2 linked regions of the Stegostoma tigrinum genome follow. The protein of the gene in region 2 purifies or fractionates together with the protein of the main gene of each other region. This does not show direct contact. Links are inferred from orthologs where the notes say so. Each region holds a gene or a part of one and is shown on either strand. Other genes may lie near its edges.

The links.
Region 1: the proteins of cops4 (region 2) and dtl purify together in Homo sapiens (affinity purification with mass spectrometry; 3 studies listed by BioGRID). This does not show direct contact. The link is inferred for Stegostoma tigrinum from reciprocal best matches to the Homo sapiens genes COPS4 and DTL.

What each region holds. Positions count from the first base shown.
Region 1 is NC_081362.1:54,599,687-54,603,607, reverse strand, and holds the start of dtl (denticleless protein homolog), read right to left. Parts: upstream 2,328-3,921; 5' UTR 2,284-2,327; coding exon 2,235-2,283; intron 358-2,234; coding exon 235-357; intron 1-234. Other genes in the region: ints7 (integrator complex subunit 7), read left to right, coding at 2,466-2,559. UniProt on the Homo sapiens protein: Substrate-specific adapter of a DCX (DDB1-CUL4-X-box) E3 ubiquitin-protein ligase complex required for cell cycle control, DNA damage response and translesion DNA synthesis.
Region 2 is NC_081354.1:77,491,685-77,495,605, forward strand, and holds the start of cops4 (COP9 signalosome complex subunit 4), read right to left. Parts: upstream 2,471-3,921; 5' UTR 2,420-2,470; coding exon 2,346-2,419; intron 1-2,345. UniProt on the Homo sapiens protein: Component of the COP9 signalosome complex (CSN), a complex involved in various cellular and developmental processes.

The sequences.
Region 1 (3,921 bases), on a different chromosome or scaffold from region 2:
CTTTTAATATCCAACTGGTCCACATGTTGTTCCTCAGTATCACTGAGGAGGACAATATTTATTTCATAGGCACCACTTATTTGCTCTGGATAATCAGGCTGTAACTTCACGAATGTGGCAATCAAATTTGTAACTTCATGATTCCAAACTAATGTATGCTTTTAACTAATTAAAATTAGAGAGACACAGTAAGTGTGCAAGAAGTTCAGTCAAGCACTGGAGAGGTCAATTTACCTGTAGACCACAAGCAGCCAAATGGAGGTACTGCTGCCCCAAGGTCACCGTATGAAGTGTGTTCATCTCGCCGATTACATTGGTAATACTGCAGCAGAGTCTCTAACGAGTAGCTGTGAGACTCTAAACACAAAAAGATAAAATTTTGTTGAAACTAACAGACAAGCAACTGACAATAAAAAAAAAACTCTGCAGTGACTGCAACTTGTCTTTTGTATAAGATATTCCATGCATACAAATTTACAGCAATGTTTCATTGCTGTGCAGGCTAAGAAAAATGGCAACCAAAAGGAAATTTTAAGATAAGTAAATTCCATAAAGAGATATCCACATGAATAGGGTATAATTTTTATTTGTTTCATCATTTTAACAAAAAAGCGATCATTCATCATTCAGAATGATTTGAGACATTTAACCATGCATGCACCTAGAAGGCATAGAGCTGGACGAACACAGCAGGCCAAGCAGCAGAGGAGGAGGAAGGCTGACATTTCGGACCTAGACCCTTCTTCAGAAATATGGAAACGGGGGGAGGCAGATAGAAGATGGATAGAGAGGATAGGTGGAGAGGAGACAGACATGTCAAAGAGGCGGGGATGGAGCCAGTAAAGGTGAGTGTAGGTGGAGAGGTAGGAAGGAAATAGGTCAGTCCAGGGAGAACAGGCAGGTCAAGGGGGTGGGATGAGGCTAGCAAGTAGGAAATGGGGTTGGGGCTTGAGGTGGTGGTGGTGGTGGTGGTGGTGGTGGTGGTGGGGGGGGGGGGGGGGTAGGTGGGAGGAAAGACAGGTTAGGGAGGCAGGGACGAGCTGGGCGGTTTTGGGATGAGGTAGGGGGAGGGGAGATTTTGAAGCTTGTAAAGTCCATATTTATATGGTTGGGCTGCAGGGTTCCCAAGCGGAATATGAGTCGCTGTTCCTGCAACCTTTGGGTAGCATCGTTGTTGCACTGCAAGAGGCCCATGATGGACATGTCGTCTGAGGAATGGGAGGGAGAGTTAAAATGGTTCGCGACTGGGAGCTGCAGTTGTTTGGTGCGAACCGAGTGTAGGTGTTCTGCGAAATGGTTCCCAAGCCTCCACTTGGTTTCCCCCGATGTAGAGGAGGCCACAACGGGAACAACGGATACATGTACCACATTAGCAGATCTGCTTGATGTGAATTGCAAGGGGGGGGGGGCAGAGAGATACAGAGGGGGGGGCAGATATAAAGAGCGCGCACGCGAGGGAGCAAGACAGAGAGGGAGAAATGGAGGTATATAGAGGGGGAGGTAGAGCTATATATATATATACATATATATATATATATATAGAGATAGATATATATGAGAGAGGGAGAGACAGAGAGGGATTTTGTATCCAACTTCACTCTGCACCATTAAACTAACAAGCGCGATATAAATCGTAAATTGAAAGGCAATGTGTGGCAGGTGAGCAGTAATTATTACAATTTGATACCTCTTTTTGTAAATAAAAAAACTTTTATCAATACGAGAAATATCTAACACCCAATTTAAAAAATGTTGTTGTGCCCCGTTCAAAAAGCATTCAACCACAGCCTTAATTGAACTCCTTTTAGAATATCCAGTCAAGTAGCTCTATATTCGTGCTTTCTCGTAAGATTTAGAAGCCTACCAACATGTTAATGACAACGACAGTGATGCGTATAGTAGACGAAATAGCTGTTCTCTTCGAAAATTCGTGTAGCTGAGACCAAAACAATAAAACTTCCTGCAGGAATTTCGCATTTCAATACAATTATAGAGTCACTTGATTGATTTGCACTTCAAATAACAAAACTTAGACAAATTTCTATTTTTAAATGATTACTTACAGCTACGAAGATTGAGATTAGTTTTGGCGAAATAAAACACTGAGCACAGCATTCTGATGAATAAACCTTAAACAAGCAATACTACGTAATGTTTCACAAATACATCACAACCGTGATGTCTTTAAAGAAAGGCGCACACAATCCTTTTATAACCTTGGAGTAGTTTCTCACCTCGCGTTCTGTTACAAATTCTGCTACTGAGCACAGAATGGAACAACATCTTAAAACTCCCGGCGACTGAATTCAACACAACTCCCGCGCTCTGCAACCTCCCGCCAAATTGACGTCACACGCGCTGATTGGCCGCCATGCGGAAGTTTGTCGTCCCGCTGTTACCTCCGCTCCCGGTGCATTACTGGGAGAAGACGGTTGGTTCCCTGCGGTTAGAGTAGGTGTTTAATCATGGCGCTGGCAGCAGCTAGGCCGTTTTTGTCGGAAGGTGGTTATGGAGAGCAGGAAATGGACGCCAACTCTGCTCTGATGGAGCTGGATAAAGGTACGTATCGGGCGCAACTTGCCCGCTGGCCCTCCTCTTTTCTCGGATTTAACAAACCGGCGGAACGTTTTCCAAACTGCCTTTAAAACGTGCAGTAGAATATCTGGGACCGTCTCGGGGCAGCAGCTGCGTTTCGGTGTTTATTATTACTCTCAGTGAGACTCTCCAAACGTTTAAACTTTCTCGCTGAATTGTGGAGGTCTTTGGAACTGGCTCTAAAATCTTGCATCTGCCCATTAGATGTTGATGGATGTGAACTGATTGTTATTTTCTGAAAAGTAGCGTATTAAAATCCCGGCCTTAGTTATTAGGATTGAAACTTACTTTATTGAGTTTTAAATCAAATCTCAAATTTGTTCGAAACAAATCATAAACATTTTTCTGACCGGTTTGAATGGCTTATACAGTGTTTGAAATCCTCCAGTTATTTCCAAGGATAAATTGATAAATCTGTATTTTGTGTTTACCTTTTATTTAAGTTTGTCAAGCTCTTATCCTGGTCAAAATACCGTTGAAATTATCATTCACAGATCATAGCCGATGACCCTAATTATGTTGAAGTTTGCTGTAGATAAAAGAGAAAAAAAACAGACATTAAAGTTGTTACATGAGCACAATTTGAAGTGTTAAGTCTAAGCAACATTGACATTATGCTAACGTCTGAGCAGTCAAGCAACATATACAATAGACTTATTTTGAATGTTTCCTTTGTTGTAAGCTCATAAGTCATATCAGTCTGTCTCCCTTGCCCCCAGCCCAGAGTCACGTTTTACCTCCTTACTCCCCATCCACTTTCATTGAGGTGCTGCCTTTCTCTTTGCTTATCTAAGGAGCTGCTCTTCTTGCGTACTGCTTCATTTGACGTATCCTTTTTTCACCAAAACTCATGAGAGTTACATCAGTTATTTTGCACTGAGCTGGTTAATGGATGAATATTCTGTGTGTGAAGGATTTACTGCCACACTTGACAACTTGCTGACCCTCCTTTTCTCTGAAATTTCCACCTAACAGGAAGTAAATTTCCATCAATTGAAAATTTGTATTCAGAGGTTGCAGCAGAGTTCAGTCGCTTGAGCAAATCAGCACTATCACATAAAGCCAAGAGTGGTGGTGTGAGACGCATTGGGCCATGATGGATAACTGAGGGTGGGATTTTATGGAGTGTACTTAAGCATGAGTATTTCATTTATACAGTCTGGATGTGGATTAGAAAAGGTGGATGCTGGGAAGTTGTTTCCGTTAGGCGGGGAGACTAGGACCCGTGGGCACAGCCCTAGAATTAGAGGGGGTAAATTTAAAACGGAAATGAGGAGACATTTCTTCAGCCAGAGAGTGGTGGGCCTGTGGAATTCATTGCCATGG
Region 2 (3,921 bases):
GACCATGAAAATCCTCCTCCACTTGACCTGTCCATCCTCCCTGGACTGACCTATCTCCTCCAGCTACCAAGAATACACCTCCTCCCACCCACCTTCCTGCAAAAATGCCATCCCCGATTCCCAATTCCTTTGCCTCCGCCGCATCTGCTCCCAGGATGAGGCATTCCACTCCCGTACATCTCAGAGATCCTTGTTTTTCAAGGGCTGCAACATCCCCCCCGCAGTGGTCGAGAACACCCTCGACTGTGCCTACCACGTTTCCGCAACTTATCCCTCACACCCCATCCCCGTAATAACATCCAAAAAAGAATCCCCCTCGTCCTCATGTACCAACCCAACCTGCGGATCCAATGCATCATCCATCAACACTTTTGCCATCTGCAATCTGACCCCACCACCGAAGGCATTTTTCCTTCCCCACCTTTGTCTGCTTTCCGCAGGGACCACTCTCTCCATGATTCCCTTATCCGCTCCACACGCCCCTCCAACCCCACCACACCTGGCACTTTTCCCTGCAACCACAGGAAGTGCTACACCTGCCCCCACACCTCCTCCCTCACCCCCATATCAGGCCCCAAGAAGACTGTGCACATCAAGCAGATGTTCACCTACACATCTGCTAATGAGGTGTACTGCATCTGCTGTACCCGTTGTGGCCTCCTCTACATTGGGGAAACCGCTTTGCAGAACACCTACGCTCAGTTCGCAATAAACAACTGCACGTCCCAGTCACGAATCATTTCAACTACCCCTTCCATTCCTCAGACGACGTATCCATCCTGGGCATCCTGCAGTGCCACAACGATGCCACCCGGAGGTTGCAGGAACAGCAACTCACATTCCAATTGGAAACCCTGCAGCCCAATGCTATCAATGTGGATTTCACAAGCTTCAAAATCTCCCCTCCCCTCCCCTCAGTGCATCCCAAAACCAGGCCAGCTCATCCCCGCCACCCTAACTTGTTCTTCCTCTCATCTATCCCCTCCTCCCACCTCAAGCCGCACCTCCATTTCCTATCCACTAACCTCATCCCGCCCCCTTGACCTGCCCATCCTCCCCAAACTGACCTACCTCTTCCCTACTTCCCCACCTATACTCGCCTCTACAGGCTCCATCTCTGTCCTTTGAACTTGTCCGTCTCCTCGCCACCCATCTTCTCCTCTATCCACCTTTGATCCACCTCCCCCTCTCCCTCTCCCCCTCTTCTGAAGAGGAGTCTAGGCCTGAAACATCAGCTTTTGAGCTCCTAAGATGCTGCTTGGCCTACCATGTTCATCCAGCTCCACACTTTGTTATCTCAGTGTTGTATTTACCATTTTTTTTGTCCAGCTGTACTTGTACCTTTCCTTAGGACCAAAAATTTTGAATGAAAACATAAAATTGCACTCTTCGTGCATAATTAAAGAGCATACCAATCACACTCACGTCAGTGTACAGAGGCTGTGACCACGTGACAAATAGTGGTCAACAACAGCACTTGTATTTTATACCGGTAAATTCAACAGCTCAGGGATAAGTCCCATAGCCACAAGTAGCCCTCGGGTACCTTGCGTGATTGGTCATTCTTGATGTAACACTGTAGGTTTGCAGGAGATTTGACGGTACAGGGTATGACACTTTAGCACTATGAATCCTCACTGGGTACCCAACTACTGCCCTCACAACAATTGTTGTCGCATCACAGACTGCAGATCGGATCTGGCATGACCACGATCGATACAGTTTGATGTCTCTGCAGCACAGGGTGGGGAGACCCTTAAATTTGGAATCCATGAACGGAGGAAATGAAAATTTCTGTGGTCGATCATTTTAGCAATAAATGTCTAATAAGTAACAATGATTATTATATAACACAGTGTGGAGCTGGAGGAACACAGCAGACCAGGCAGCATCAGAGCAGCAGGAAAGTTGACGTTTCGGGTCGGGACCCTTCCTCAGAAATGGCCGTGTTTATCTCTGATTCCAGCATAGGCAGTTCTTACCATCTCGAAATGATTCTGAAATGGACGTTTTACTAAAAGCTGATATGAATGTGACTCCCTCAATCAAACGTAAAACAGATTTTTAAACCTCACGTAGATTGTAGCAAGAGGAGAGACAATTTTACTCATCAAGGCTGAAACAAACAACCCTATGGTGCCCCGGGACAGAGCCGAGACAGTTGGACATCAGCCTGGAGAAAGCAGGGGGCGGGGAGTCTCTCTGTCATAGGAACCGCTCCTCAGGCTGGGCTCCGGCTGAGTGTCAGCCCACAGGCGGCAAAGCTCCGACAGCTGCCGGGGGTGGGGGAAGGGGAGTCCGCCCGCCGCCTCTACACGCTCGCCCAGTCTCCCCGTTTCACTCACTTGCCGGCCAGATCCTTGTGAGAGCCACTGGAGTTCATCAACACCGCCAACTCCTGCCTCATTGCCGCCGCCATGTTTCCCCCACCCCCCAACAAGGAGCTTCAACTGGCGGCAAGAGCGTCCTACACAGTCCGTCATCGGAGCAACAGCGCCACCTGCCCGCTGGGGGTCTACTATAGTCCTCCAGAAGCAGACGCAGACGCAGAGTTCAGTGCCAGAGAGCACTTGTGAAATACACGTTTGCAATTTTTGTCCTTTCCCAAATAACAAGGTGACCGTCTTCCCAGCACTATTTGTTCAATAAAACCAGGAATGATGAACTATTCAGCAGACTGGGCAACATCCATGGAGAAAGAAACAGTTACGTTTTGAGTAAGATGTCAATTCTTTGCCATTGAAATGGGGAGCAACGACAGAAGGGAAGGTTTGGGATAAGGCAGATGAGAGTGAAAAAATGACCTGAAAGAAAAGACAATTAGGACGGTAATATTGTTGGAAAAGTCACATTTTGTCAAAAATTTTTTTGTTTTGCACTCAGCAGGACAGTTCGTAAGAATGCCAATTTAAATGTTTTTAATCAACCTGTTTGGAGATGTTATTACAGAGCCCTGAAGCAGGTGGAACTGGAACCCAGGCCTTCTGACTCAGAGGTAGGGATGCTATCACTATAAAACAAGAATACCAAATTAATAGAATAAACATACATATTATATGAGTGGAGAGTGCTGATAAATCAGCATGTAGAATCTGTTTGGCTTTGTTTAAATTTTAAATCTGGCATTAGTGCTTACTCTGGACAAAACACTTTCCCTTACTAGAACCACTCCCTTTGCCTTTTGCTCCAAGGCATTTTGTTAGTCAATTTCTCCCATCTTTGGCCCTATCCCAGACATGTTTCTACATTAACCCCTCCCACATTTCAATGCCATATAACAATCACATTCTACTGCTATCAGTTATGAATAAGTATTTTTTGACTTGACAGTTAACTCTGTTCCTACAGATGCCGTCAGACCTTTTGAGTATTTGCAGCATTTTGTTTTTTATTTCAATGTTCTAACTTTTGCTGTTGTTTCACAGTGTAATGTCTATCAGAACAGAGATAGGACTTCTACAGAGATCAAATGGACTGAAGGGCTATCATCATTAGAGGGTATCTTCCAATTTTATCAAGAAAAGTTGAGTTTGAACATGATCTCTCCTATAATTTACAATGAATAATTGTTTTCAGTTGTGCCTGAACTTTCAATTTCTATCTCAGTTAAAGAGCTGCACATAAAGGGTCAAAATTGTTTGGAAACAATGGCCTTAGTATCTTTGAATTAGAAAGGAAAAATATAAGAAAGGGTTGACATTCCTGATCATTTTCTCTCAATCCTTCCTGAAACTAGAGATGTGAATTAAGATAGAATACAGACTGACTCTACTACTTCTCCACTCACTTTTGGATACCCTGACCACAGTAATTGTCTACGATCAAAGACAAAGAAGATTCATTGTCTAAATGCTGGATGATTGCTGGAACTTACATGATTTATCCGTCAGGATAGGACAGAGCAGAGTAGAAAATGCTTGA